4 linked regions of the Arabidopsis thaliana genome follow. The protein of the gene in region 4 interacts with the protein of the main gene of each other region in a pairwise test. Each region holds a gene or a part of one and is shown on either strand. Other genes may lie near its edges. The genes, in order: TIFY8, AT1G35560, BLH8 and KNAT1.

Region 1 (7,599 bases), about 11 Mb from region 4:
TGACAGTTATCAAACTTTTGAGAGTTTGTGACACGTACGATACAGACACAAAATCAAATCTCCCTCTCCGACCATTTTTTTTTCTTAGTTACATAAATCTCTTTTCCTTCTCCAGCAACAGAAGAATTCTGCTCGATAATAGATTGGTAATCACAAAAAGAAAAGAAAAAGTGTTGGAGATCCTTCCGAGAGAGACGCGACATCTCCTTCCTCTTCGAAGATGAGTGGTACTGTGAAGGATATCGTTTCAAAGGAGGAGCTTGATAACTTGCGCCACAGCGGAGCACCACTCGTGCTTCACTTCTGGGCTTCTTGGTGTGACGCTTCGAAGCAGATGGATCAAGTTTTCTCTCATCTCGCTACTGATTTCCCTCGTGCTCACTTCTTTAGGGTTCGTCGTCTCTGTTCGAATTTTATCTCTTTCAATTGGTTTTTGACTTTGATTGGTTTTATTTATCTTCTTAGGTAGAAGCTGAGGAACATCCTGAGATATCTGAGGCTTATTCTGTTGCTCTTGTGCCGTATTTCGTCTTCTTCAAGGTAAACTTTAGGCATATTGATTCTTTGTTTGGTTGCAATTTTTTGGCTTATTGACAAAGCTTGAATCTTTGTCACTGCACTGAATCCTTTTCTTATTGAAGGATGGCAAAACTGTGGATACACTTGAAGGGGCAGATCCATCAAGTTTAGCTAATAAAGTTGGCAAAGTTGCTGGTTCTATTACTCCTGCAAGCTTAGGGTTGGCTGCAGGGCCAACGATTCTTGAAACTGTTAAGAAGAATGCGAAAGCTTCTGGACAAGACCGAGCTCAGCCTGTATCTACCGCTGATGCTCTCAAGAATCGTTTGGAAAAACTCACCCTGTTATGTTATTCATGAATGGTACTCCTGAAGAGCCTCGATTTTTAATATCTATTGAGTACTTTCTTTATAGTTGGAATTCTTGTGGATATATATCAGGTAGCTACTTGGAGCAAACATGTTGCTAAAGTTGACCTGCTACTGTTGTTTGAAGAACACGTGCTATGTCTTGTCGTTGAAGGAATTATGTTCATATGGGAAGAACATAAGCCTACTGGAAAGTTTACCCCTAGCTCTATTGTTAACCCAGATACTTGAGCCTCCATATCACAAACATCTAGTTAAGGTTTGTGTAGTAAGAACAAGAAAAACAACACGTGTTCCCAATTCCCATATAAATGACCATTATACTTCTATCAACCCAATTAATCACAGTCCGGAGACTAGTTGATTAAAAAATCAGCTAATACTAATTTGGTGGTTTCAATAAACATCTTAAATACTCCATAATTAAACTAGATTAAAGTGGGAAAAATCGTCATGAGTAGTTGTAAAATCGATTTCATTTAAGAGTATAGAAATTCGTCATGAGTGGTTGGTTCATGAGTTCTCTCTCTTACTCATATTAGAGTAAGAAATCAAACACTTATAATCATTCAAAATTCAACAACTCTCATCTCAAAACCATATATTTAGGTAAAGTTATATGCATACATTTTGCATTTTAATTTTAAAACAGATTATTTGGCGCGTAATGATAAAATTATGTGTATAAAAATTATTTAACTAATCGATCTAACAACCACATATGAGTAAAGTAGTTAACATTGTACTACTACACCAAATTATAGTGTGTTGGTTAGATTAGATACACAAACTCACTTTCTCAAATCAATAACATTATGAATCTATGATAACCTTAATTTAAAAAGAGTCTATAATGCCATGATTTTACAATCGTACTTTTTTCTTTTGGGCTGAACTTTTAATCATATATTATTTGAAAGATGTGATTATTATAATATTAAAGGGAATTAAAATCATGTAAGAGAAACCCAATAAAGTAGCTTGAAGAAGAAAAAGACAAGCTTTATTATACACTTACCCAGAAAAACAAAAAACAAAAAACTGATAATATCTCTCTCTCTCTCTCTCGTTGAGTGTGTCCATGAAATAATACTCTGCCAGAGACAGAGAGAAAGACTGTAACGGAGGATGTGGTGGCGAAGTGGCCACACTGACACACTGGTTTCATGATGGTGAACCACAACAATGGCCAGCGACCCACTGATATTGATTCTCGTCTCCGACAGACAGAACAAGATAAGCTCTTGTTCCATGACTTTTTAGGCTCCAAGAATCCTACTTTAGCATCCACTTCCATGGCTGACCATAGGCTACCACCGGATAATAAGGCGGCTAAAGCGGCGATGACTCCTTCCACGGCTTCTGCTTCCTCCGCCGGTGGACTCGGCGGTCTCTCCTCAACCTCCGATCTCGGTTCTGCTCTGTCTCTCTATCTCTCTCTCCTGATGTTTTTGTTGTTGTTGACGTAGTGTGCTTACGCTGATGAGGTTTTGAGCTGATTCCTCTGTACATTTAGGGTTTCTATCTATAGAAAGTTCAACTTTTGTTACATAGATTCGATTTAAAGTTGGATTCTTTCTTTTCCCCCTAGTCTGGATTAACGATCGAGCTTTGATTCACCATGATTTGAAAATGTAAGAGATCATGTGAGTTAGTTTCAAATTTTTTAGTCAATTCATTTATGATTAGATCTCTTAAGTTGAAAATGGAACATCTTTGGGTTCATAAGGTTGAACAAAATGTGAATGTACATTGTCTTGTTTCATTTCTTGCCTCATTGCTTTTTTAGTTCGACAATTTAAGAAACATGAACATGGATTGTGTGTGGGCATGTGGTTGCTTGACCTCTTGTAGTGTTAAGGACTCTCCCTCTCTCTCTCTCTCTCTCTCTCTCTCTGCCCAACCATAATGCCCTCTGGTGGATTAGTTGGGACATTGAGAGTGAATTTGACTGATGAGTTTGGTGGGTCATAGCCATTTGAGGTTGTGATCCTTTTTTATATGAATTGGCCCTTCTTTATTGCCTCTCGTTTTCTCTCTCTATCTCCTTGAGTTCCCTCCCACAACAATCTTTAAGTTACTTATCCATATTTTATCATTGTTTAGTCGAAAGACACAGCGGCGGTGGGAATCATCTTGATGGGATACAATTGTTTGGACCAAGAAGTGATGTTTCTGGCTCAATCATGAGCAATCGGTTTTCAGGAAATAAGAGAAGTAACTCTGATTCTCACTTCACGACTCAGGAGCACCCAGAGACTCTGCATTGGTCCAAGGTAACTAAAAAAAAAACAGAACCTACACAACTTCACCATGGTCACAGCTACGTAGAACTCAGTTTCTGTAATATGTCATTGTCATAACCTAGTTGCTTAGAAACGGACCTGGAAGCTTCTCCATGAATGTGAATCCTTTGGCAAACCAGCCTCCACGCGGAGGAGGACAGATCAGTCATTTGCTTCATCAGCTGTCTACTAGCAGGTTCAAAGATGAGAACGTAGGCCCATCAGTTATTGCTCAGACAGCTGCTGATGAAGGTTCACGAACAGGGATGAAAGGTCCCGGTATCTTGAGTTCTTTTACAATGCCAAACTCAAGCAAGCTCGAAAGTTTTGCCCCTTCAAAGTCAGTTAGCTTCTAGTGTTTTGTGTCTCTGGTCTTTCGATACTCTTCGAGTCATTTCAATACACTTTGTATTTGCAGTACCGGAAATCGGAAAGACTTGGCGTCGAGTACTAAGCAAATGACCATCTTCTATGGCGGTCAAGCTCATGTCTTTGATGACGTTCACCCAAACAAGGTGATTCTCCCTAACACTTATACACTTGATATTCAAGTTATTTGACTACATTTTGATATCTAAAAAGGTAGAGAATTGAGAAGTTCATCTGATGAATGTTATTTTTTTGCAGGCGGATGTGATAATGGCCTTGGCAGGATCAAGCGGAGGCTCATGGTCTACGGGTTTGTCTCATAAACCGAAGTCGAAGAACAACACAAGTGACGGTCCATACAAGCTAGGCCAAATGTATGAAGGAGGCAGCTCTAAGGAAACACCACAAATGCCCCCGGAATTTCGTGCAAGGCCGAGTCATCAACCTACCTCCAGTGCCTGTCACCGGATCTTTACACAACCAGGTGACTTCTTTTTAAAGAAAACCAGATTTCAGCAGAAATTTTGGTTAGCTTCTTACAAATACTGAGTGGAGTAGAGTAATCAGGTCTTATTTTGCATTGTGACATAATAAAATGAGGATACAACAGTAAAGAGTTATCAACTGTTCTGGGTTTTATCAACTTGAATCTGTTTGAGGAGCCATAAAACCATGTACATGTATGATTTGCAGGTAGAGAGCATCAAGGAAGCATCATCTCAAGGGGACGAGATATCAGAGATCCGGTTCACAGATCAGATCCTGAAAAAGAAGCCACATGATTAAAGTCTGAATATGAGAGACGATGAGTGTGGCTGTTCTTCTAAGTTGTTGTTTTTTTTGTTTTTTTTTTGTTTTTGGTCAACTTCTTCTAAGTTGTTATTTGTTGACTTGATAGCTTTGTACAATGCTCTGTACCTTTCTAGGTTTGTATTCAAACTCATCTCCTCAATGATTTAGAGAATAATATTTTCTCATAGCTCATATATAAACATATTGGTCAACCAAACCTACTATTTCTAGGCCTATCGATTTTCGTATATTTCCATGTAAGGCTGAGCATATGGATACATCACATCACAAGAGAATCATATCTAAATCAACTCTGGCTCTACTCTGGTTAGCTGTAACTCGAAAGGAGAGTCACTTCATATCACCTTATTCAAACCCTTCTTCGAGTCAGAGGTGTTCGTTCATGGCAGATATATGACTTCTCAGCCTCTCATTCTTAGTACATTCCTCCTGCCATTGAGAAATTTAGCACTACGTAAGTAGATGACTCTCGGGCTTTTCAGTATAAACACTTATTTCCTATCTTGTGCTAACCTGGTATGCTCTTAGTACAGTGTAGCATTTTCTTTGCTCTGCAGCTGCAGCTATATACTTTTCTTTTGAAGCATCACGGAGCCTCTGCTCTTCTTGAAGCCCAAGTTGTATTTTTCCAATCTTCTGCACTTTAAACATTTTGTTATGACAAATCATACAGCTATAGATAGGTAAGATGGGTTAGTTCATGCTTTGTGCCTCAAATACCTGATTCAATATAACTCAGATTACCTGTTGGATTCCTTTCATGACTCCTTCCATTGAATCAATAAGCTTCACACGGCCAGCAGGAGTACCAATCACGTCTTGAAACTACAATCAAGTCAACGGAATTATGGTGAAACTTTGACTCACCAAGAGATATACTAAAAGGGGAAAGCAGAGACGTAAATCAACTTAGTAATGAACATAAGCTATTCTCAACGATATAAGTACATGACAACTAAAGGTACAACGTGGAGAACAGTACAAAGCAGATGATGCTAGTTATAGAAAATCAACAAAATAATAATGCCTGTATTTTACCTGTGAACCTATGGAATTCAATAATGATGTCTCCTTAAGCATCAAATCTTTGATTTCTAAAAGAGCATTGTATGTTGCATAGAGCTTCCTAGTTTGTTGAAGTTTCTCCTGTTTTTAGTCAGATATCAAACAAATGTTCGTCAAGCTAGCAAGTTCATTTTCAACTAAGAAACAAACCTGCAAAGCAACGAGGCAAATATTAATTTGACTATTCGAACCTGAATACAGACATTCAGCTCTGAGAATCTTCTTTCATATCTGCACGGAATGAAATATTGGAATTTAGCGTGAAATAAATACACCAAGTGGGAAATTAGCCATAGTAAAACTGGATTCCACAAAGCTACACGCAAATTAACTTGACTCCTGACATGATGATTCATATATTTTACAACATAATCAAAGATACTTGCTCATCAAACCAGTGGGAGTGGTGGGGTTAAATCAAAAAAATTGTTGAGATGAAAGAGTTTCAACGCGAACAAGTACACAAATACAAAGTGCCAAATCCAAGGCATATTATCTTAGAAGTAAGAAAGTGGGGGAAGAAGAGCATACTGGAGGAGTTCAGATTGGCATGGCACATCGTCAATCTGTCGCTTCAGAGAGACTATCTCTCTTAGCGTTGCTCCAAGCTCCTACAGTAAAATGAAGGGAAATGCAACAATAAACTTCTTAGAAACACAAACGAAAAAACCTGAATCTCAACTACATGATGCTGAAGATGCATAGAGGCTGTCTATAGCATAGAAAGAGTATACCTTCTTTGCTGAAGTGAGATTATCTAAAGATACAACCAACAAACCATCTAAATCTTCCTCTTGAATCTCACCATCAAGCCCCTTACCAGCTCTCTCCTCCAAATCATGAACTGCATCTTCTAAAGCAGAACGTTTAACATTACAACGAGACCTGACTTCAGATTCCTCCTTCACAAATTCCTGAAAAATCCTACAACTATTAAAGTTACATCACCTAGGGCCACTCACAATTTACTCATCTCAACACTTATTTACCTTGAGTGATCTAAGAAGCGGTATCAACTCCTGGACTGAAACATCAACAACTTCCTTGCTTATTCTTTCTCGCAACTGCTGCAACTTATCCTTAGCATCACATTTTCTCTGATTCTAAGTTACAAATGACAACAAAAGTAAAAACCTTTGCACGGTTTGATCAAAAACACCATAAGATAGAAGCAAGAGACTTTATTTGCTGAGGAAAGAAGAAACAAAGCACCTGTTCTTTCACTTTCACACTCAATTCTCTTACAGATGCCTTCAGATTTGTCACCATTTCCTCAGGCTGCTCTGACGTATATTTCTCCTTCACTGAAAGACAAACCTGTGGTTTCCAGAGTATATCAGAGTTTGCTCTAACAGATCAAGTTATCATCGAACATTTCATCCTTCGATTGAGGAATCAAAATTAAGCAAAAAGAAATCGATGAAGATCCTGCTAAATTGCTAACCTTGTCACTGTTATCGTCTTTCTCCATCACCAATTACCACGATTTCAGATACGACGGAGCCATCACGACTTTCACTTCGACATTGCGTTTAGGATCACGTTTGCGTTTACAACTTTCACGTTTGCGTTTTCAACTATCACGTTTGCGTTTAGTTTTATACTTTTGTAGTTTTGAAATAAGATGCAACTGTATTATTGGATTGGCTCTCACATTTCAATTTTCAAGCGTTTCGAAAAGCTAAAGAGTTATTGAAACGTTCAAACATAAAATACCAAACCAACCCAAACTAAGTGAAGAAGAGTGCCAGTAAATTAAAGCTGAGCCAAAAGGACTAGTAAAGATTACAACAAGAGTTGTTCACAATTTCTCAAGATCCCAATTTCGTCAGATCATACAACAACATTTGTTCAACATCTGGAAAACTATCTTGAGATCGAGATAATGGCCGAGAGAGAACACTACAAGTTAAAAAAAAAACCATGATTACTAATAATACCTAAACAACAAACGTCTCTTTTCCTCTCTCATAGTTTTCACTTCCACAGTTTCACTAGCTTATCATGACTAGCTGATGCAACCAATCCAGTTGCAGTTGAAACAGCCAAAGATGTAATTAGCCCTTCGTGAGCTGGTAATGTCATCGTCTTGTTCTCTGACATGTTCCATAGTTCTAAAGACTGCATGCATACACACACAAGTTTAGGAGTAAATTTGGGATTTTTGCATTACTTTCTTC
Region 2 (6,394 bases), on a different chromosome or scaffold from region 4:
AGGATTCCATCATGTCCAAAAACTGGTTTTCTAATTAGTGCTTTCACCGGAAAATCTACCAGAAAAAGTGGCTGTTAACACATTTGAAAACGGAGTAAGATCGTCAACATTTTTTTTTTTTCTTTATAACTTGTGAATATATATTACCTCGAAACGAAAAAGTTATTTACAAAGTCAGAAGACAGACATGCCCAAACAAAATTTAAAAGCTAAATTTGAAATACATTTAACTGAAACAGAAAAATTAACTATGGAAGAACCATTGAGACAAGAGTCTCCCACAACATTTCATGCAAAGACGAGTTAGAAGATTGTCAATATTAGTCACATGCTATGAGAGAAGGAAAAACAAAGCATTGAAAAAGTATTCTAAAATTATCGGAGGAAGAAATATTGAAGTACGATGTTGTAGGTGATCGGGGGCAAATTGATCTTGGAATAAGTAAGCATAAAACAGTAGCAGAGGCTTGGGAAGGCTATAGACAAAGACGACACAGATCTACTCACCTTCAGGCCATAGAAACAGCTCTCTTACAACAAAGAAACGATAGAACAGAGGATGAGGACATTGTTCTTTGGAAAGGTAAAAATGACGTATATAAGCCACAGTTCTTGACTAAAGAGACCTTGAATCATATGCGGACCATATCCATGGACGTTGATTGGTATAAGGGTGTTTGGTTTGGTCATTCCACGCCAAAGTACTCTTTTTGTGTTTGGTTAGCAGTTCTTAACCGACTCTCAACAGGAGACAGAATGACTCATTGGAATGGAGGTCAGTCAGCCGCTTGTGTGCTATGTCACAACGCTCCCGAAACCCGGGATCATCTCTTCTTCTCCTGTGACTTTGCTTCGATAGTTTGGAGTAACTTAGCAAGAGGAATCTATGGAGACAGATTTTCTACACATTGGCAAGACCTGATACAAGCCATCTCCGGCTCTTGGATGACACCGCTTGACAGTTTCTTTGCGCGATATCTCTTTCAAGCCACGGTACACACCATTTGGCGCGAAAGGAACGGAAGGAATCATGGAGAGAAACCAAACTCAGCAGCTCTTTTAATCAAATGAATAGACAAACAAACTCGGAACCAGCTTTGTTCGATCAAAGCAAGTGGAGATAAGAGATATGACAAGGGCTTACAAGCTTGGTTTGCGATGAGAGAATGAGAAACAATTTTTAGATTGTATTCTAGTTTTTGCTCCAGTTTTTTCAACAAAATGTTGCACATAGATGTAAAAACGCTATTTTTTTTTTGGATTTAATTTAACATTACATTAAAAAAAAAAAAAAAAAAAGTACGATGTATATCACAAGATTATAGAAATACGAGATTCTATGTATCTAGGTGGTATCAAAGAGAAGTGAAAGGTTGAGGAAACTTTTTACAAGAAATGTAAAATGGGATGAGTGAAATTAAAGGGAATGAAAGAGAGTAGAATTGTTTTTTGGATGAGAACTCATGAGATCATACCTACACACAAGACCAACCCAAAGCTAAAACCTGTAAAGCATGGGCTTTTTAGGCAGTAGATGATTCTAAAACAATTTAAAAGCACCATTTTAGAGATATATATGGTCGAAGAGTGATTAACACTTTCACTCTCTCACCATTTTATTTTATTTTTAACGTCTTGCCTACACATTTAAAACATTAATTGGTTGATACTTTTATACTTTTTTAAGCAATTAAAATAATTTATTTAAAAATAAATGTATATAAAAAAATATTAATAGTTTATTTCTTAGATACTCAATGAGTCTCCATCCAATGAAGGTGCTCTAACAGAATCTTGAACAAGGCTACATACTATATGGTCTTGTAAATGAACATTTTCACTTTTTGGAGAGAACAGAGACAAGACAATGGACCGTGGGAGGATCCAGAGTTTCAGACCAAACATCACGTTTTTTTATCACTCGCTTCTTGTACTTCTTCAACTATCTCTGACTGTTTTACTGTTTTCTTTCACTGCTAATGCTTACACGTGCATCTGTCTCAACAATTATTTTTCAGGAAAATAAAAAATAAGAGAGATTATATATACAGTTCAAAATATAATTGCATATATATATATATATATATATATAAATTATATAAAATATACTGTTCAAATATAAAGTTTTTTTTATAGTGGTTTGGTTTCACTTTCATTGTTATCTATAATTTAGCTCACGGTGCGTACATGTAACTTACATTAAGAACAGCCAAAAAGCTCAAGCTCGTGTCCAAATTAAGATTCCGAATGGTATAGCTAGCAATATAATATATTATATGGTTTTGGATTGATAAAAACATAAAACCTAATAAAGGAATTTAATTGATATAAAAAATGAAACAATAATACAGTCTAAATATTCAATTATGAATTAAAATATTGCAATAAATCAGTTAATAGGCATTAATACTAATATGATTATACATACATGGTTAATCACTAAGAGCAACGTGAATATCAATAAACTAATTGATTTACTACGCTTGCATAATTATTTTCCTTAAAACTTTTTGATTTCGAATACTTTGTTAACACCCTGATACATGTGCATATAACATAGTAGGCTGAAATTGGACTATTCTTAGACAGTTTTCACATCTAGAATGAGATGTATAGGTTTCGTTGAGAAAAATTGTAGTTGAGATGATTAGTTATATATAACCTATGTCTGTGGGTGCTAATTTGGCAGATGGGAAAAGAATTGAAGCCTTTATATATAGTCTTCAATTATTAGTATCATCGTTAATAAAAACAGTGGTCCTTATCTCTCAACAAGTCTTTCATCAAATTCGGATAACAAAGACAAAATAGAGAATCAAAGAAAGAGACATTTGTGTTATTATCAGTAAATTATTAAAAAAATAAATAATATTAAAACACTATTATATTGGGTGTAAATTGGCTCTATGATTAGTGATTAGTTTTTTTCTTTTCCCCCATAGAACATTCAACGTTTCCCACCCATGCAAAATCCAACCTAAAAGCCAAACTTTATAAGGAAACCAACAAATAGATCCCTACAATCTAAAGATTGCAACAAAAATGCCCCAAAATTATAATCTTAGACAATCCACACCTTTTTCAATCATGTAAAACACTTCCAAACTTTTCATAGTCCATTGCTAAAAATAGTTTTAGTCTCACAAAGTTAGACCAAAATTCAATACATTCGGCGCATAATTATTTTTATACTACAATATAGTAAGTGTGATAATAACCAAACAAAAAAAGGTTAAGTGATCATTTGGTGTGGAAACAGCAAATATTGGTCTCTACTCTCTACTACAAAAACCTAGTGGGACTACAAATGAAAATAAAACACAAAAGAAAAAGAAAGTGAAAGTCTCTCTCTCTTTTCTACAAGCTGCTTCATCTTCTTCCTCTCACTCTCTCTTTCTCCAAACAAGTAAACAACAGTCAACACAAACTCATAGCCCCACCAGAAAAAAAAAATACTCCAAGAATTTATAGGTTATAAGTAAAAATTCAGTACAAGTTTGTTTGTTTGTTTATTCCATTTTCTTGTGTGTTTTTTTCCCCATAATTTATAAATTTTATAAGCAATATGGAGTCCCACAACAACAACCAGAGCAACAACAACACCACTGGTTCGGCCCATCTGGTCCCATCCATGGGACCAATCTCCGGTTCAGTCTCATTAACCACCACTGCTCCAAACTCCACTACCACCACCGTCACCGCCGCTAAAACACCCGCAAAACGACCGTCCAAGGACCGTCACATCAAAGTAGACGGACGTGGCCGGAGGATACGTATGCCGGCTATCTGCGCAGCACGTGTCTTCCAACTAACACGTGAGTTACAACACAAATCGGACGGCGAGACTATAGAGTGGCTGCTCCAACAAGCGGAGCCAGCTATCATCGCAGCCACCGGAACTGGAACCATACCGGCGAATATCTCTACTTTGAACATCTCTCTTCGAAGCAGTGGCTCTACTCTTTCAGCTCCACTGTCTAAATCTTTCCACATGGGAAGAGCGGCTCAAAACGCTGCCGTTTTTGGGTTCCAGCAACAGCTTTATCATCCTCATCATATCACGACAGATTCTTCTTCTTCTTCTCTTCCCAAAACATTCCGTGAAGAAGATCTTTTTAAAGATCCTAATTTTCTAGATCAAGAACCCGGTTCAAGATCACCTAAACCGGGATCCGAAGCTCCTGATCAAGATCCGGGTTCGACCCGGTCAAGAACACAAAATATGATACCGCCGATGTGGGCACTAGCGCCAACGCCAGCCTCCACAAACGGAGGTAGTGCTTTTTGGATGTTACCAGTCGGAGGAGGAGGAGGTCCGGCTAACGTTCAGGATCCATCACAGCACATGTGGGCGTTTAATCCGGGTCATTACCCGGGTCGAATCGGGTCGGTTCAGCTAGGGTCTATGTTAGTGGGAGGTCAACAGTTAGGGTTAGGTGTTGCAGAAAATAACAATTTGGGGCTATTTTCCGGCGGAGGAGGAGACGGTGGTCGGGTTGGTCTCGGAATGAGTCTTGAGCAAAAGCCTCAACATCAAGTGAGTGATCATGCTACTAGAGACCAAAATCCTACTATAGATGGTTCTCCTTGAAAGACTTCATGATTTCTTTGGTTTTTAAAAAGTGTGAATGTGTGATTTATTGCAACTTTTGTTGAGGACTCCAATGTTAATATGGGTTTTAGGGTTGGCTTTTCGGGATTGCCAAATTGTTATTTAAGAAAATGGATTTATTGTTTTGGTTGCATAATAATTAACGAGTTTTGCAACTCTTTTTATTCGATGCAAAAGCATGTCACTTAAAGGAAATATAGTTGAATCTCTATGTGTAACATAATGGACAAAAGAATAAATTAAATATTTATCAGAATGCCTTTTCTCTTTTGTTGAAGGGTATAATTGAATACACCTTCTTTGACCGCTCATATATTTCAAATATTTCGAATTGATTGCAGTTCGTAAAAAGCTAACGAATATAAATAAAAAATTATATGGTGTAGACTGTAGTGATAAACTTTATTGGGTGCATGAGCACCACATGTTTGGATACAAATGGGTTTTTAGATTTATATATTAATTCTCTTTTAAAATTCGTATTTTGTCTATCATACTTTTGTAGTATCTACCAAAAAATTGTCCACTTGTGGAGCAACATGGACACGTCAGAGAGAACTCCTATGCCACAGTAAATTCCAATGTGTTTGAAAAATAGGCTGGACGGGTAATCAGGCGAAATGCCGTTTTTAATGTGACTAGGGGTTAGCCCGGATATATATTTTGATAATTGATATTTTCAAGTTAGTTGATATAGTTTAAAAAAAATATTGGATTTGATTTCGGAAGTGTATATAATAGATGGTTTATTGGGATTTTTATATATTTACTATTTTTAATATATTTAAAATATATTAGAAATAATATGTTATCATGTCAAGAAGAAAGAATATGATTTATTTTACTTGTGATTTATATATCTATCATATATGGGATGTAGAAGCATGCTCCTAACTTAAGCTTTAGCAAGTTACATATTAACATAAGACTTGTTACATAATTCTGACCAATTACAATTGCTAGAATACGTGTATCAGTAATATTTTAGAAAACGTTAACATGCAAATATAAAAATATTACTTATCCTAACTTCTGTCTTTTATTAATTCGTGTATTGACTATTTCATATTTTTTATTTATCTTTCTCTCGTATTACCAATGTCAAAGCGGAGTATTTGGCAAGAAAAATTCGTGTCAAACCGCTACATATTACCTATATAAACAATTTTCCGCAATCTTGGTTCATCTGAACTCTAAATAATATCTGATGACAAAAAATAAAATCACTCTCAACATTCTCTTCGGGAAAAATGTCATGTAATCATTCAACTTTAAAAAAATGGCCATTTTATATAGGAATTTCATAGTAAGCTATTTTAAATATCAACTAAATGTTGACTGCCATATTAAACATGAAATTGCGTTGATCAGACCAATTTTGACATGACGTTAAAATGTGATTACGGAACCACTAAAAGCCGATATCAGTCGTTAACTATTCTGTAGTCATGTGTTTTGGTTATTTGTATTCTTTTTATTTTTTTTTGTCTTAGTTTTGTTGTGCGTTAACGATTGATAACAGTTGTTAGTGGTTATGTTAGTAGATTTTAAAATCATGTTTTTTTTGGCCGGGTCAACATTTAGTTGATGATTAAAATAGCCTTATACGAAATTCATGTTCAAAATAGCCTAAATTTGAAAGTTGGTAATTTGACTAACAGAATTGTTAACGACTGTTAGTGGTTCCGTTATCGGATTTTAATGTCATGTCTATATATATTGGTTAGGTCAATACAATCTCATGTTTAATACAGCAGTCAATGTTTAGTTGATGTTTAAAAT
Region 3 (8,376 bases), on a different chromosome or scaffold from region 4:
AGACTCACCACCACAGATCTCAGACTGAGATTTCAAAACAAATTGCAATTCTCTTTTACACCCAGTACGAACCTGTGAAACAGCCACAAATTCTCCAGTAGCCGTACCTTTCGCCATCGATTCAAACGCAAGAACTTGTAAAATCAATCCCTTAACTTCCTATTAATGTCGAAAACCTAGAAAACGCATCGATGTAGTTATGGATTCATATCTATGAACGAGTGCGATTAAAGGTTCAATTTGTAGGGATTCGCTTATCCTAACCAAAAGAAGAAGGAGAAGAAATTAGGGTTCCGTAGTTATCACCAGAAGAGAAGGGAGAGATAAAGAAGAAGTTGAAAAAGCTGTTTTGATTTTCTGAAGAAGACTTAATTTATTTTTATTTTTTGAAATTTTATCTGTTGTATTTTTATTCGAAATTTTCTCTAATATCATTAGTTTTGAGTTATTTCTTAGAAGCATATATACTTTTATTGTTTTATGATTTAACCCCTATAGAAGTATATTCTGTAGCTTGGAATCCTTTTTCTTGCGATGAACTGTATAGGATTTGAATGTGTCTTGTCAAAATCTTGGATGTTTTTTTCTTGTTTGTTTTGTCTTAAGCTTTCGAAGCATACTTTGGTTACTTGCATGGCTTTGTGTAAAATGAAAATAATGTAGCAAAATGTTTTTATTTCCCATGAAGGAAGGATTTCATATGTGAGATGTATTGTGTAGAACTGGTCAATTTCACGTAGAAATTTAGGGCTGGACTGGTTTATACGTAGTAGATGTGGTTGCGACTGTTGTAGTTTGTACAGATGAGCGGTTGTTGTTTCAAGCATTATGAAGCAGATGCGTTTAATTTAGCGGTTGAGAATTGATACGTTTTGCGGAAGTTTTATGACTAGTTAACAATTAGGTACAACAACAGTTAAATCGAAAATGATCAAAAAAATATAATTTATAATTATATTAAGTATTAAAACATTAAATATTATATTATTATTATAAGATAGAAAATAATTTAACTATAGTTAATAATAAAAATTATTTAAAAATTCTACATAATTATTCAAAATAAATAAATTTTTACGTAAAATGCTTTTTTTTTTTGATGTAATGCATTTGGGACACAATGTCTCCCGAGTTTATTATATATAAAAGTTTGTTTAGGACACGTATTCACAGTCTTGTTATCACTAACAAGTGTCTCTAAAATTGGCGGAACATAATCAAAATGATAACCTAGCTGTAAAAAATAGCATAGTTAGTTATCATTTGCGAGTTAATTAGCTTTCTTATACAAATGAGAAATCCGGACAATTCAGTCCCTTGAATATATACCGTCATGGCGCAAATATACCAAAAAAGACAGCGGATGTGGCATGTCGTGAGAAATCCAACCGCCACCTCCGATTAACTTCCACTTCCAAAAAGTTCGCTTTCCTCTCCCACGCGATGTACATGTCATAATAACCCCCTCCCCTCCTCCCCCACAATTCTGCCAAGAGAGCCGAACAACGACCAATATTTAGAGTAAATCCTTACACGAACCTCCAGCTATATCTCGGATAACTTCACCAACTTCATCCAGCCCACACTCGGTGCCACCCACCCTATCATTCTTTCCACTCGTTGTCTGGTGGACTGCCTCTCCTTATTAGCCAAATTGGCAAGTTATACAATAAAATTTTAAAAATCAAAGTTTTGTTAAGTTTAATTTAACTTAAAAATTTTAAACCCACAAGGGACGGATCTTAATCTTAGTATAACATAAAAGAAATAATTAAAAAGGTTTTTAACAAAAAAAATAACTAAAAAGGTGATCAGAGAACTTTGTGGCCCTAAGTTAGGAGTAACCATTTCAAGACAACTTTGTTATTTTCACTCTACCCAAAATACATAAAGGTGAAACAAAAGCAGAGGATTTTCAACCCACAAAGTCATGAAACATTTGGCTTCCAGTTCCAAACTGATGATCCTGAGTCTGCGTTTGGATAACATTGTCCACACCACGCCTAAGCTCTAACGTGAGTGACACGTTCCCTCTATTGAACCCCACCATGTCCATGTACTCTAACCTCGACCGTTTTGTCCCGGAGAGGCCCGTTAGCGTTTGTTCATGGCTCGGACTGCTAACAGTATTCGGTCTATTTGATGGCTCAATGTTGTGACTAGTATCTGCATTTTTAATTGCTTTGGTCTCAAGTGTGTGTATTTCTTCCACCATAGGTTTCCATAATCGCACACGGGCGTTTATGAACCAATTTGATACCTTTAAAAAAAAACACGAAACCAAGTCAGCAAATCTTGTCAAAAACCAAACCTAAAATTAGGTGAAGTCTATACTAAAGAGTTTTTGCATGTGAGGATAATGAGACGCTCTTTGTCCTGACATGGTTCATGGTGGAAATGTTTGAAAAAAGTTAATCTTCTATTTACACGTAGAACAATTTCAGTTTTTAGTTACACATGCACTTGTCTTTCATAAAATCTAGACTAATTCTATATATGCATGCTTTACTTTAACATATAAGATTGATGTTATTTGAGAGTAAGAAATTCTAAAACCATTAGGTTATTGTCCCATCAACATGCTTTAAACCAATAGAAGAAAACAGGACCGGCCAAGAGCAATAATTCAAGAGACAAGCATATTTAAAAGTTTCACCAAACAAAGAATTACATAATTGAGCTACCTGGTTACGAGAGAGACCAGTTTGAGTGGCTAGCATCTGCTTATCAGAATCAGTGGGGTACCTAATAACAGTATTAGCAATAAAGGATATGAGAAATCACATCAAAACATCATATCAAATAAAATCAAATTACATCAAAAAAATTGTGAGGCTTTACGGATGAAGAAAATGGTCAAAGAGCCATGCTCTAAGAACAGCCACTGCACGTTCGGGCAATCCCCTTTGAGGCCTCCAGATATGTTGTTGTTGAGATTCAAACCCGACATTGTTACCAATCAAAGATCTTTGCCTCTTTTGGAATCGGTTGTTGTTGTTACCGTTTGATGAGTGACTTGAGATTTGCTTCACATGTTCAGCTATTGCGGTTCTAAGGGCCTTGAAACTTCGTGAAGTCCGTTTGAGAGCCAACGAGATATACGGTGTTGCGGTGTTTAGACCAGCCACTGTATTGAAGGAAGACATAACTGTTTGCAACTGATGATTATATAGTTTGTACCACTTGCAAACCTTTTCAATGTCACAAGTTATAACATGTTAGTTTTGTAACGAATCTATAGATTAAAACATGACTGTGTAAGAATATAGTTTCACAAACCTCTTCTTGCAGAAAGAGAAGTTTTGCTTTCTTTAGTCTATTCTTGGGTTCTAATGGCTCAGAAGAACTACTAAACCCTGACAAGTTATCATCATCATCATCATCATCCTCCATGGAAGTAGATTCACTTCTACTAATAATCTTTGAAGCATAAGAGATACAAAACTCTTCTAACATTTTCTGAGCCGGCTCCAAGAACCTCGAACTCTTCAGTATCGATGCATATCCCGTGAAAGGCCCGAGTGGGCCGTGAATATTCATTGTTGACAAAACAGCTGCATTTCCAACGTCTCTAGATGGAGGGATATCAGACAAAAGTGAGAGTGGAAAGCCTTTCTTACTATTAGTATGAGAAGTGGCAGTAACATTCACTGGTCCGTGGTTCCAGTTGCTTGCATTGTGCGCAACTGATTGATTCTCCAAACTTGGGAGAAACGAAAATTCTCCTCGGTAACTTCCAGAAGAAGAACCTTGATCATAACTGCTCCTTAAAATCTCATTACCAGTACCCGAACAAGCCACCGTTACACAACCCTTTTGATTATCGTCTAGACAAGAAACTTCACTTCTCCTAATCATGCTAGACTGAGGAATAGAGTCCCGGCCGACATAAAGAGGACGGTCCAATATTTGGTTTCGAGAACTGAAATGATCGGACAACAAATCTGCAACGTTGTTTGGCCTAATACCAGCCTGATCATATCCGTGATTCACGGTACTAGGTTGTGACAAATCACTGATTCTCCAATTACTAGGGCCTTGTGGGTCTCTATGTATCGACTGAGGCATGTTCATAAAGGTTGCGGCAGAATCTTGATACAAATCGGTTTGAACCGGTACGGAAATCTGGTTCTGTAAGATACCAATCAAATCAAGGTTGTTGGGAATTCTGATGTTCTGATGCTGCTGCTGAGTCCAAGTGTTGGGAAAATCATTCATTTGCTCAACTCTAAACTTATCTCTTCGGATTTGTTGAAAATCTGGTTTTATCATATCCATCTTTATGTACCTTTTGATATTCTATCATAAGAAATTACCAACAAATTAAATATGCATGAGTTCCATATATATAGCAAATTAATTAATAAACATCTGTAAATTGGAAGAGGTTTTTTTTATGATCACAGAAACTACAAAAGCGAGTTGTATGAATGGAATAATCGTTAGACTGTTCAAAAAAAATGAAATTCTTACTAACATGAACTTAAAGATCCAAAATTAAAACCAGTTTACAAGAACATAAAGATTCATGCGACAGGGACCTTTTAGCTAACATAATATATGCATTAATTTCTATATAACCAACAACAATAACAACAAAAGAACGACGACCTTTAATTAAATTTCCAAATGAAAAACTACAAAAAAAACAGGGAAAACACGAAATGAGAGATGGACGAAGTAAAAACACCCAGAAAATAATACTTTTTATATAAGAACAAAACCCTAGGAAACTTCAAGAACAACAAAGAGAAGAAGAACAAGAAAACAAAAAATAAGGTGTGAGAATATAACTAGTATTCGGATTTAAATTTGGTAATATATATCATAATCGTCAAGATTTCAATTTGGAACTATAAGTACCATGAGCAAAACAAATACTCGCGAGGAGAAACAAAATGAATAAGGTAAGTGGAAGTGATAAAGACAGATAGATCTCAGAAGAAAAAAGGGAACACAACACATACCGATCGGAAGGTGGCCGGAAAAATCGTCGGAGCTCCGGTGGTGAGTTTAGATATGTATGTAAACCGACCGTGGGAGATAGAGAGAGAGACTGAGAGAGACTGAGAGAGAATAATGATTGCGTAAAGCCGTAAAATCTGTAATGGTTTTTTTCTTGACGTATTAAGGTGGGTTTTATCAGTCTTTCTATTACACGGTACTGTACTTACTCTCTTAAAAATCTATTTTGTCGGTTTTTTTCCACGAAAATTATTTTCTTCTTTAAACTGATACACATGTATCAATATCCAAATGAAACACATTTTTATACAAATTGAAACATGCAATAAACTACGGAATATCTAAAAAACAATAAAATTAACGGCCCTAAAATTAATTTTAACTAAATTCTTTAATAAAATAAAATAAAATCATAAGTCTATAAAGTATTAGTTATTTTATGGTAGTTTAATGGTTAATAATTGTTTTTTCATATAGAACATAGGAATGTGGTTAAATTTCAGAATTTTAATACACTTTTAACTTAATTATTTGTTTATATGAGGCACTTTAAGTTTTAGAAAACTATAAACACATATGCAAAACATCAAACCAAATTATGTTTTTGCATGTCTTTTGTTGCATGCTCTATATATCCTAACTATTTTTGCTTAGTAGTCCACTAAATTGTTTCGTTTCAATCACAACCACTCAAGAAAATAATTACAATAGATTACTAAAACAAGTTAACAACAGTGTTATTTATTTACTCTTTTTGTCGTAATGCTTTAAATTACATGTCTCTTTCTTTTCATCGGACAACTGTTAGTGTGTTTTTTTGTACATCAGGACAACTGTTAGTTTACTCATGTTTTCTACATTGTACATTTTGGCAGTCAATTTTACGGCACGGTTTCCATTAAAGATATGGACGTCATCTTATGGTAAGCTGCATCTTTTGAGGAATAATACATGTAGACGTCCCTATTTATAATTTTTGTGTTACGTAACTTCCCTTTTGTTATTAATTAAGTGTGTTTATTTGGTCAATTCACTCAATCAAATCAAACCCAACGCCAAACTGCAACTATTTATGTGATTGACGCTTCAGAGTTGAAACTGCCACTTTTGTCAGATTTATTATCTCACTTCCCAACTTTTCTTTTCCGTAACTAGTGAATTTATTCATGGGAAACTAATTTAATGCATGGTATATGATGCGTACAACAAGCAATACTTATATGAAAAAAGATTTAGAAACAAATTGTATTGGCTTAACTAAATCAATTAATCATGTAGCAATTAGGTGATTTGGAGTCTATTCTCTGTTTAGAAAAGTAGTAACTGTTGTCTTTATGAGAGTTTCTGTTTTACTTAGCGGGTAAATCTACTCTAAGCTAGGTGTTTTCATCCACTTAACATGTATTTTATAATCTCATGGTTTTCACAAGTCTTAAATTGTACTTATTAGTTTGGTCTAAATATTACTCCCTTTGTTTCATTATATTGGATGTTTTAGGGATTTTATTTTGTTTCAGATTATAAGATGTTTTACAAGTTTAAATTTAAATTTAATTTGACTATTTGTGACTATTTATATTTTGCAGTTTTCATTATCATTTTTTTTAACAAAATCTAAATACTATTTTTTATATACAAAATGACCTAATATGTATCCATTTACCTTAAACCTCTTATATTTTAAAACAGAGTGAGTACATTCAGTAAGAGAATGGATAAAAACGAATTTGGAATACACAAACTATAAAAGTTTCTTGAGTACTGTTTCTATTATTGGGCCATAAACAGTGAGACAAACAGGCCCATAGAAGTAGGTGAAAAAGGCTTATTAAGATCAACGGTTCTCTCGTTACGAATGCAAAGAATCTTCTGGATCCTTTTTCTCTCAGCTACTCTCTCCATTTATCTAATAAACCCTAACCCCTCCTCCCACACTATTCGTTTACACTAACCACTTCCTTATCCACACCAATCCAGAACGTTCCTCAAAAAGCTCCCTCCTTTTCTCTCAAAATGGCGTCTGCAAACGCTCTCTCTTCCGCCTCCGTCCTCTGTTCTTCCCGTCAGGTACAAAGTTTGTTCCTTTTTACCTTCCTTAGCTACTTACTAAAGAAGAAAATGAATCATCTTTCATTACTTTGTTTTGATTGGATTTGACCCTTCAGTGTTATCTATTTTCAAAAACCTTTCTCTATCTGGTTTATTGGGTTTTTGAAGAAAGTGATTGAATTTGACCCTTTAGTTTGTTCTGTTTCAATTCAATTGCTTTTCTCTATTTGGTTTCTGGGTTGGTGAGAAAAGGTTAATTTTTATGGGAATTAGAAGAAACTGATTGAGATTAATGTTAATGAATCTGCTTTATTGATGTTGTGGGTATACAGAGTAAGTTGGGAGGAGGAAATCAGCAGCAAGGTCAGAGAGTTAGCTACAACAAGAGGACAATCAGACGTTTTAGTGTTAGAGCTAATGTAAAGGAAATAGCTTTTGACCAGCACTCTAGAGCTGCTCTACAAGCTGGTATTGATAAGCTTGCTGATTGTGTTGGTCTCACTCTTGGCCCTAGAGGTATTTGTTAATATTAGTAGCTCCTTTACTCTTTCCATCTTCATCTGTGTTATTTATCTTTCGACTTATCTTGGTGTTTTCATTTGTTATTCTTAAGGGAGGAATGTTGTGTTGGATGAATTTGGAAGTCCTAAGGTTGTGAATGATGGAGTCACCATTGCTAGAGCTATTGAGTTACCTAATGCCATGGAAAATGCTGGTGCAGCGCTTATTCGTGAGGTTGGTGTAGCTTTGTTATTGTCTCTGTTAATGCTATTTATACGGTGCGGTAATCTGGTGTTGTTATGTGGTAGGTTGCGAGTAAGACTAATGACTCTGCTGGTGATGGGACAACCACTGCGTCTATCCTTGCTCGGGAGATAATCAAACATGGATTGTTGAGCGTCACTTCTGGTGCGAATCCCGTTTCACTCAAGAGGGGAATTGATAAGACTGTTCAAGGTCTGATCGAAGAGCTTCAGAAGAAAGCTAGGCCCGTGAAAGGTCGTGATGACATCAGAGGTACTAACTTTGCAGTGACCTTCCTTGTGATGCAGCAATGTTTGATTTCTTTTACTGATCAATCTGTTCTTTTTTTTTTTTCCAGCTGTGGCTTCTATCTCTGCTGGAAATGATGACCTTATAGGGTCAATGATTGCTGATGCCATCGACAAAGTTGGACCTGATGGTGTTTTGTCCATTGAATCTTCATCTTCTTTTGAGACCACGGTCGAAGTTGAAGAAGGGATGGAGGTATGAGTTTTTTTGTCTTGCTTCTCTTCAACTGTAATTTTATTCACCATTCATTGCCAATGACTAACTTGATTATTTACAGATTGACAGAGGTTACATCTCGCCTCAGTTTGT
Region 4 (8,332 bases):
TTTAATTTTTTTACGATTAAATGAGTTTAAATGACGGTTTGGGTTTACAAAGGAGAATTAGGGTTTAGATTTTGTAATTAAACGAGATTATATATCGGTTTGGATTTATAATTATAGCTTTAATTTATTATGTAATTTAAATAGGACTTGACATGGTATGTTTTTATTGGTTAATGCAAAAGGAGGTGAATAAAGGGGTTTACCCCTAGGGGTGAACCCTAGTTTCTTTAATATATAAGAGTGGAAGAAGAGAGATAATAATGATGACATGAAGAGAGAAAATAATGATGAGATGGCAAAATTGATATTTTCCCCAAGTGATTTGAATGTTGAATTAGTTTCATAAAAATAACTGATTAAATCATTTAACAATTTTTAGTAAAACATAGATTTTTTTGTGTGTATAACATGATTTAAATTTTTGAAATCTGATACAAATTATTAAAATAATGAATAATATTTGTCTAAAATACACAAATACAATAATATAGAATGAAACTAAATAGTATAAAACGAACAGTAGACAAAGAATTGAGTTAAACCGATATGATCCAAAAAAACTATAACCTATAAAATACAATATTGGCAACCCAAGCAACCGAGGTACACCGTAGTGGTGACGTTGACAGTAGCGGTGGTGGTGGTGGTGAGTGGTGACGGTAGCGGTGGTGGTGATGACGACAATGGTAGTGGTGATACTAACGGTGATGTAGACGGTGGTGGTTGCGACGATACAATTGTGGCAATAACAGTGATAAATGATCATGGTGACTTGGTGGTAGATGCTAATGGTAGTGGTGGCACTAACGGTGACATTGACGGTGGTGGTTGCGATGATATGGTTATGGCAGTGATAATGATAAATGATGGAGTTAAATCGATACGATCCAAAAAAATTATACTTTATGGGATACAACATTGGCATCCAAGCAACCAAGGTAAACCGTAGTGGTGATATTGACGGTAACGGTGATAGTGGTGGCACTAATAGTGACGGTGACGAGGTGGTTGCGGTGATACGGTTGTGACAGTGACAGTGATAAATAATTATTATGACTTCGTGATGGTGGATACTTATAATTTTTGTTTTGTTAAGATAGAATAGAAGAAGAAGAAAGATAAATATTTAAAATAAATTAAAAAATAAATAAAAGAACTATGTATCCTACAACATGGGGCAAATATGGCATTATTATAGATTATACATAGAATATTATAGTCTTATAGTTAGAATAGCTAGTTAGTTAATATAAGTTTTTTTTTTGTTATACACTCAAATTTCCCAAAATACAAATAGTTGAAAACTAAACTAAGTGTCACTAAATCATCTCACCAACAACTCTACACTAAAATTGTTTTTTCTCACCTTTCACATGCAATTTTCTTAATTTATATATATATATATATATATGATGTTATATTCTTAAAAAAAAATTTCAACTCAACTTTCATTAATTAGATTAAATGTAATCAGAGTGAAGTAGAGATGAAATACATCTTGGAACATAATAAAAGAACATAAAATCTTGACCAATTCGTGATTGATGCTATATTTTTAATTAAGTTTTCAAAAATGACTAGTTTTGCAAAAAACTCTTTAAAAACATTAGTAAAAAAAAAAGGATGATGATGCAAGAATTGGAGCTAATCCATCCTTTGATCACTTGATGAGCAAGAGTTCCAAACTTGCCACGCGGAAGGTGGGATGATGAAGGTGGTGATCTAACACGCTGGCGATCGCTTCTCTCGTGTGGGATCGATTCAAGGGGAATTGATGGGTAGTTGGGTGATTGACTCGCTCAATCAGTTGGGTAATCGACTCACTCGATCAATGAACGAATGAAGGATGTTGAATCACTCAACAAACTTAATCCGCAGATTCCTGACGTACTTCATGACTCACTCACAAAGAACTAAAGAACAAATGACAAAGACTCAACTTTGACAAGAAAACGTTTCTGTTACTTTAAAATGATCAAGGGTTGCTTTACAATGAATGAGAAATCAGCTTATATAGAGCTGAATACAATGTTCTAAGGCATTAATGAAAGAAACAAAACATAAATGAAAATATTGGACATTAATTGTAGAATATGTCCAAATAAGGCAAGTGAGATGTGCCTTGTATCTTGTCAACTTGGGGAGGAAGTTGTGACGTCTTGGAAGGTTCTGGAGGGTCTCAAGATTCTCACATAAGCGCACAAACAAAGAAGGAAAGAGTTGTTGGTAATCGATCTCCTTCGGCTCCATATATGGCAAGTAGTAGCTCAGCGGGTTCTTGTGTGGTAAGATGTACCAAAGTTCGTGTGGTATAAGTCTTGTGTGGTCTAGATGTTCTCCTGGTTTCCATATGTAGCTTTGAGGTGCGTCCAAGTGTAGAATAAGGAAGATTTCCTTGTTTGGCTTCATTTCGTGCGGTACTTCAGAAGGTAGTTTCAGCAAGTAGTTCAGCCGGTCTGTTAGCAAGTACATCAAATATATGTACTTTTGATATCTTCGAATCATTTGCTTGGTAAATGATTCCTTGATGACTTGATGTTGCCTCGTTAAAAACCTTTCTAGGTAAACCCATTGGGACAAACCCTAGATAAGGGAAAAAGAGTGCAACGGTCATATCCCCACAATATGGTGACTCGGCTCGCTGGTCTTTGACCCTTCTTGAATCATCATTAGTCTTCTTAGAATTAATTTGCTGGTGAATAATTAACCCTAGGCCTTGTGCTTGATTGAGACTCCAATTGGGCAAGAGTCCTCCAAAATGCTCTTCATCAATCGGTTTGATAAATGTACCGGCTGATTTGGTATGGTCCCGGTTTGGTTTAATTTGGATGTCCGCATCAGATGACGAGTGGGTGCAAAGGGAGAATCTTTAACTTAATCTTTCGACAATAGTTTTTTTTTTTCTGGTAGTGATTCCATGACCTATGTATTATGATGTAATGCTTTCGCATAAGTCATAATATATGCCTGAAACCGTGTTCGAAGCAAAGATGGTTTTGAGACTTATCAACTATCGATGTTTTACATTTTGTGGATTTTGTTTTAGCTTGTGGAAAGGCATGTAAGAATCCATTAGATCAATTTGGGTTTTGTCTTTCAAAACCATACATTTCATGCCATATAAAATAAAAAAATGGAGCAACACCTTTTCAGAATAGCATTTTCCTTTCACACATTATTAAATAAAAACATTAGTGAGAAAACAAAAAAACAAAATACACCGAAAAAAAGAGAAAATAAAATGAAGGGATATTTCTGACTAGGAAGTCTCAAACTCCCCGAACGACATAAGACATTACAAAAGGCGTGAAAACAAAGAAAGCTATAAGTAGCAAACTGATGTAGGGGAATTCAAAACATGAGTTGTAACAAGAAAGCAACGAGAGGTTGTTATTATGTGGCTAAAGCTTTTGGATGTCTTATGGACCGAGACGATAAGGTCCATCACCCATGTAATGACCATCCATGTACAGAGCTGCGTGGTGCGGGTGCTGCAGACCATCCATCACCATGAACTGCATGTCTTCAGATGGTTTCCAGTGACGCTTTCTTTGGTTTATGAACCAATTGTTGATTTGTTTCTGATCTAACCCCGTTGATTCCGCCAACGCTACCTTCTCTGACTCCTGCCACACAACTCAAACCAACCATCTTCATTTATGTAGTAATCAATGTATAAAAAGCAATGCTAGAGATAATCGAAAATTATTTTTAAATGATTCTAGACATAAAAATGGAAAATGACCTAAAGTTTGTTGTTTTGAACGATTCTCTAAGTAAAATGACTAACTTCATTTTTCTTTGACATCAAGTAACGACTAACTATATGTTGTCTTATTATCTTTTTAACAACATGTCATTTATATTTACCAATATTAAACATGTTTTTTTCACTATCATTACAGTCGGTTAGATTAGTTATTTCATTTCAAACTAATTAAAACTACAAAAAAAATTAAATTGTTTCAAAATATATGGATAAAAATTTCATCACAAACTTACATTTTTTAAAAAAAAGTGATTGATATACGTGTTAGAAAATAGTATGTTAAGGGTTAGAACACCATGACTAAGATATGTATCCTAGTGACTAATTCTAGTGTTGTGAGCATTCGGATTTAAAACCATGTTGTTGGAAACCGTACAAGGATTTAAACACAAAATCGGTCATGCAAGTACCTACTTGGCCTAACATAGCGGCTTCAGAGGGAATTGCTAGCTTAAAGATAGGTTTTTAAAACACTTAATTTGTAGTATATATTTTAAAAAATATGAGGGCAAAGAGAGATGAGAGAAAATTTATACGTACAGAAGGATATGGCCACTTGTAATGCAACTCCCACCACGTGAGAAGCTTCTGCCGTGCTTCTTTAGGAAGTTTACCTTTCTTTTTCTTCTTGGATAGTTCTTGCTTCAAACTGCTTAAGTATCCACTATACTTCTTCAGCAAATGGTTCTTGAGTTCCCGATCTTCGGCCCTCGGGTCTATTTCCGGTAATTCTGTTTCCCCTCCGCTGTTATTCTCTTGTTCTTCGTCTGATGATCCCATATTGTCACTCTTCCCATCTGCTTCAACATAATATATTTCATGAAGTTAAATGGTTTAGTCATTTAACAACATTCTAGTCATCTACCTTTATGATTAGACTAATTAATCCGAGTAGAGATTTTGATGTTTTAGCATAACGAAATCGAAGAAGATAATGTCCCAAATAAATCTTCACGAGCAGCACCAAAAGTTCTTGTGATAGTACTTTTGGGCCGAGTGAAAAGAAAAAAAACAAAAATAAGCCCCACCCATCTTTGGATGGATTCCACAATGGGGAAAACAAGAACAAATATGCACACCTATTTGTATCTTACATACTTTCCAACAATAATGCATCTCAATTATCTTAATTATCTTATAATCTTAATTAACATTTGAAAATGTATGTAGACTATGATTTTTTTTTTTTTTAATATCTCAATGTTACAACAATTTACCATGAACCAAAGAAACATGCCAATTTATGCAATCCATCATTAGCCCTACCTTGCCACTACACTTTGTTTTCTCCAGCCATTTCTTACATGTGCATATATGTATGTATATGAGATTGATGACATGTACCAGGATTGTTGAGGATGTGAATGGGACTCTGACACAACATGCTAAGCTGAGATTCAATACGACGTATAAACTCCATTGCTTCCTGAATGGGCCTTGTTAGCTCCTCACGATATTTAACCAACATGTCACAGTATGCTTCCTATTCATACCAAAAAATAAAAAAGGAAAATCAAGACTTCTAACACATATACACACAAAGAACCGACCCATTTAATTAAAATTCAACTTTGGTTAGTAATGAACCATGAATTGATCTAACTCCGGGTCTCTAGAGGAGGCAGAGACAGACGGTGTTGACCGCTGTTGTCGAGCCTCAAAGTCTTGCCGTGCCGCCGTAATTCTATCAACCACATCAGGTGGAGCTCCAATCTATATAAACCATGACCCATGAACATACATATATATGTCACACATAACTATATATTATATCTTTAAAAAAAGAGTATATATTATAACATAACAATAAGAATAAAACCAAACCTTTTGGCAGTCCAAGTAAGCTTGTAGGAGGGTAGAGTAGTGAGGATGAGCAATGATTTTAGCCTTCATGGCTTCAACATCGCTTACGTTGTCATTGTTGTTGTTGTTAGCTTCTTGAGTATTGTGGATGGCTCTCATTAACATGGAGTAATGATTGATTCTTGAGGAGCTAGCTTCAGATTTAACAGATGGGTTGTTGTTGTTGTTGGGTTGATCATGATCAGATCGGAAGCAATTCTCGGTTGTTTGAGGGAGAAGAGAGCTCATATGTGGAAACAACATGTGTTGGTGGTGATGATTGTTGTTGTTAGTATTATTGTAACCAGGACCATAATTGCTACTATTATTATTGTTGTTGTTGTTGTTGGTATCACTTGTGTTATCGTTTTTGTTGGAAGAAGAGATTGGAGAGTACAAGAAACTTACTCTTTGAGGAGTGGTGCTGTTGTCATGCTGGTATTCTTCCATACCCAGATGAGTAAAGATTTGAGAGAGAGAGAGAATATAAAAATCAAAGAAAAAAAATAAATTAAAAAAAAATAAAACCCTAGAAAAATAAAAAAGGATGGGTGTAAGATGAAGAGGATGTATGTATTCTTGCTTTTGTTCTTATTTCAATCAAAGGTCTCTGTAAGACTATAACCACATCAAATCCAGACGACTAGACGACTCATCTATGAAATCAAAAAGGCCTAACTCAAATTAATATAAAAAAAGAGAGAAAATTTTGTGAGGTGAAGTTGCACCCAAAGAAAAACCAAATAAATTGAAAAAGATATATTTGAGGAAGAAAAAACGAACTAGGTATATAGAATTCGTCAAGGAAGTGACATGGAAGAGAAGAAAATAAAAAAAAAAAAAAGAGAAAGAGAGAAGAAGAGAGAAAGAGAGAGAGAGAGAGATTAACAATAATGAAGAAGTTGGGTGGCTTGAGTGGATTGACAAGACGTCGTTTGCTTTGGGAGCAAAAAGAAATATTTGAAAATTAAAATAAAGGTAAGAGAGAAGGGACAAGAGATAAGGCAAAGGCTTCTCTCTTCTGTTTTCCTCTCATAGGCTATTTTATACATTAGAACAAGACTAAGTAATTTACTTAATTAAAATGTGGTTTATAATATTCGAATTAAGATGAACCACTCAGTGTTTAAGCAACTAGGTCTTCGCGGCTACTTCAGGCTATGGTTTCTTGCTAGGTTGAATGATATATTTTGTACTATTTTCTAGTAATGAAATGTTTTTTTTTCTTAAAAGAATAGTCAAGAAAAAAGTTTTAAAAAAAATATGTATGATTTATATATACTTCTAATACGATATAAACCCAAGAATTTGTAGTCTAGTGGTTGAACATAGAGTTCGTTCAACAAATTGTGATCATGTGTCACATTATAATTCTATACTTAGGAGAGGGGACTACGTTTATCTTGTTCTGGTCCTCGGTTTCACTGTACGGGTTTCTGCCTAAAACTTACGGATAACAAAAAAAGAATTATAAACAATATGATAGAAATGTACATATTTGATGCAAGACTTGGATGTTTTTGGAGTTTAATCAAATCGATGAAATTATAATTTTAGTTTTCGTAATTTCGTATGTATATTAGTGGAGAGATCACACTATCCGAATATTTGTTATCGGATAGAAGATTACATTAGAAACCGAGAAAAAAAAAAGGAATTATAAAAATGCTTTACAGGATAGTGGATATTATACGATATTCTGCTAATTTCCAACTATTGGCTCTATGATAAGACCATGCTGCAAACACACTTCTTTCAACACTTGTTCTGTTCCACGGTCAACATTCAATTTTCTATTTAATCTCGATTTATATTTCATGATTCATGAGACGTATAGAGTGCCTATGAATTCATTTTTATACAAAAAGAAACGAAAATCCTAGGGTTTTATTTATATATAAATCGTCAAATCCTAGGGCTCTAGATCAAAAAGTTGGCTCATCGATAGATTTTTTTTTTTGTTTACCTCATCACTGCACTAGACCGAAACTTACATTGTGACTTGTGAGAGTTTGTAAACAACAAAATGTAAGATTTCTTACAAATTATGACTTGCTATGCCGGAAATTTTGATAGTAAATATTTAAATATATATGTATACATATATTATTTCTTACTATTAAAAAAATAAAATCAGCTGCTTAGAACCAATATTATTAGAATTTCATTAAAAAAAATCGAAAATGTTAAAGGTTAAATTTTTGCATTCGAAATGTTTTCTTTTCCTTTAAGACCTCCTCTTATTTTCTGTTTCAGTATAAGATGCTGAAACATTGACATCATAAAAGATCATTCATTAAGGGTACATCTTTGAATTAAATATCATAATATTCCAAAACACAAGTGCAATAGACTAAAAACACACTATAAATAAGTCTCTGATCCCAATATTCTCATTAATATGGTCATGCAAGAAGAATATATATATATATATATATATATATATATATAAATAAAAATATTATAATACCCATAACCATATGGATCTAATTTCTTATAATTTTCTATTAAAAAAAAAATTGTTTTCAAAAGTGTGTACAATTTCATAGAATTCTATCTTTTAGATTAGAAAGTCAATTATAACAATAAAATAAAACATTCAATTTATTATATAAAAATTCACCGGTAGGCATAGATTGTTCTCTAAATTTATTAATAAACTCATTTACTCATAACTATGTAACGACTTGTATGAGGTTATCTAAACCTGCAATAAAACAC

What was found.
Region 1: the proteins of KNAT1 (region 4) and TIFY8 interact in binary tests that used the Arabidopsis thaliana proteins (3 or more experiments, as listed by UniProt).
Region 2: the proteins of KNAT1 (region 4) and AT1G35560 interact in binary tests that used the Arabidopsis thaliana proteins (3 or more experiments, as listed by UniProt).
Region 3: the proteins of KNAT1 (region 4) and BLH8 interact in binary tests that used the Arabidopsis thaliana proteins (3 or more experiments, as listed by UniProt).

Annotation. Positions count from the first base shown.
Region 1 is NC_003075.7:15,713,157-15,720,755, reverse strand, and holds TIFY8 (TIFY domain protein 8), read left to right. Parts: upstream 1-1,888; 5' UTR 1,889-2,053; coding exon 2,054-2,300; intron 2,301-2,993; coding exon 2,994-3,163; intron 3,164-3,255; coding exon 3,256-3,512; intron 3,513-3,590; coding exon 3,591-3,687; intron 3,688-3,799; coding exon 3,800-4,025; coding exon of another isoform or gene 4,026-4,090; intron 4,091-4,096; exon of another isoform or gene 4,097-4,234; coding exon 4,235-4,323; 3' UTR 4,324-4,524; downstream 4,525-7,599. Other genes in the region: AT4G32580 (Thioredoxin superfamily protein), read left to right, coding at 221-391, 466-540, 642-878; AT4G32560 (paramyosin-like protein), read right to left, coding at 4,721-4,783, 4,868-4,990, 5,099-5,179, 5,393-5,500, 5,611-5,650, 5,951-6,030, 6,154-6,333, 6,409-6,522 and 2 more; LUG (transcriptional corepressor LEUNIG), read right to left, coding at 7,397-7,540. UniProt on the Arabidopsis thaliana protein: Repressor of jasmonate responses.
Region 2 is NC_003070.9:13,114,296-13,120,689, reverse strand, and holds AT1G35560 (TCP family transcription factor), read left to right. Parts: upstream 1-3,454; 5' UTR 3,455-3,565; coding exon 3,566-4,591; 3' UTR 4,592-4,864; downstream 4,865-6,394.
Region 3 is NC_003071.7:11,919,625-11,928,000, forward strand, and holds BLH8 (BEL1-like homeodomain 8), read right to left. Parts: upstream 5,125-8,376; 5' UTR 4,968-5,124; intron 4,300-4,967; 5' UTR 4,279-4,299; coding exon 3,280-4,278; intron 3,192-3,279; coding exon 2,842-3,191; coding exon of another isoform or gene 2,838-2,841; exon of another isoform or gene 2,746-2,837; coding exon 2,685-2,745; intron 2,261-2,684; coding exon 1,916-2,260; 3' UTR 1,726-1,915; downstream 1-1,725. Other genes in the region: AT2G27980 (Acyl-CoA N-acyltransferase with RING/FYVE/PHD-type zinc finger domain-containing protein), read right to left, coding at 1-117; CPN60A (chaperonin-60alpha), read left to right, coding at 6,979-7,032, 7,347-7,530, 7,628-7,749, 7,824-8,031, 8,117-8,262, 8,345-8,376. UniProt on the Arabidopsis thaliana protein: Required for specifying floral primordia and establishing early internode patterning events during inflorescence development.
Region 4 is NC_003075.7:5,144,550-5,152,881, forward strand, and holds KNAT1 (homeobox knotted-like protein), read right to left. Parts: upstream 6,611-8,332; 5' UTR 6,062-6,610; coding exon 5,594-6,061; intron 5,483-5,593; coding exon 5,357-5,482; intron 5,253-5,356; coding exon 5,114-5,252; intron 4,567-5,113; coding exon 4,310-4,566; intron 3,627-4,309; coding exon 3,420-3,626; 3' UTR 3,150-3,419; downstream 1-3,149. UniProt on the Arabidopsis thaliana protein: May play a role in meristem function, and may be involved in maintaining cells in an undifferentiated, meristematic state, and its expression disappears at the same time the shoot apex undergoes the transition from vegetative to reproductive development.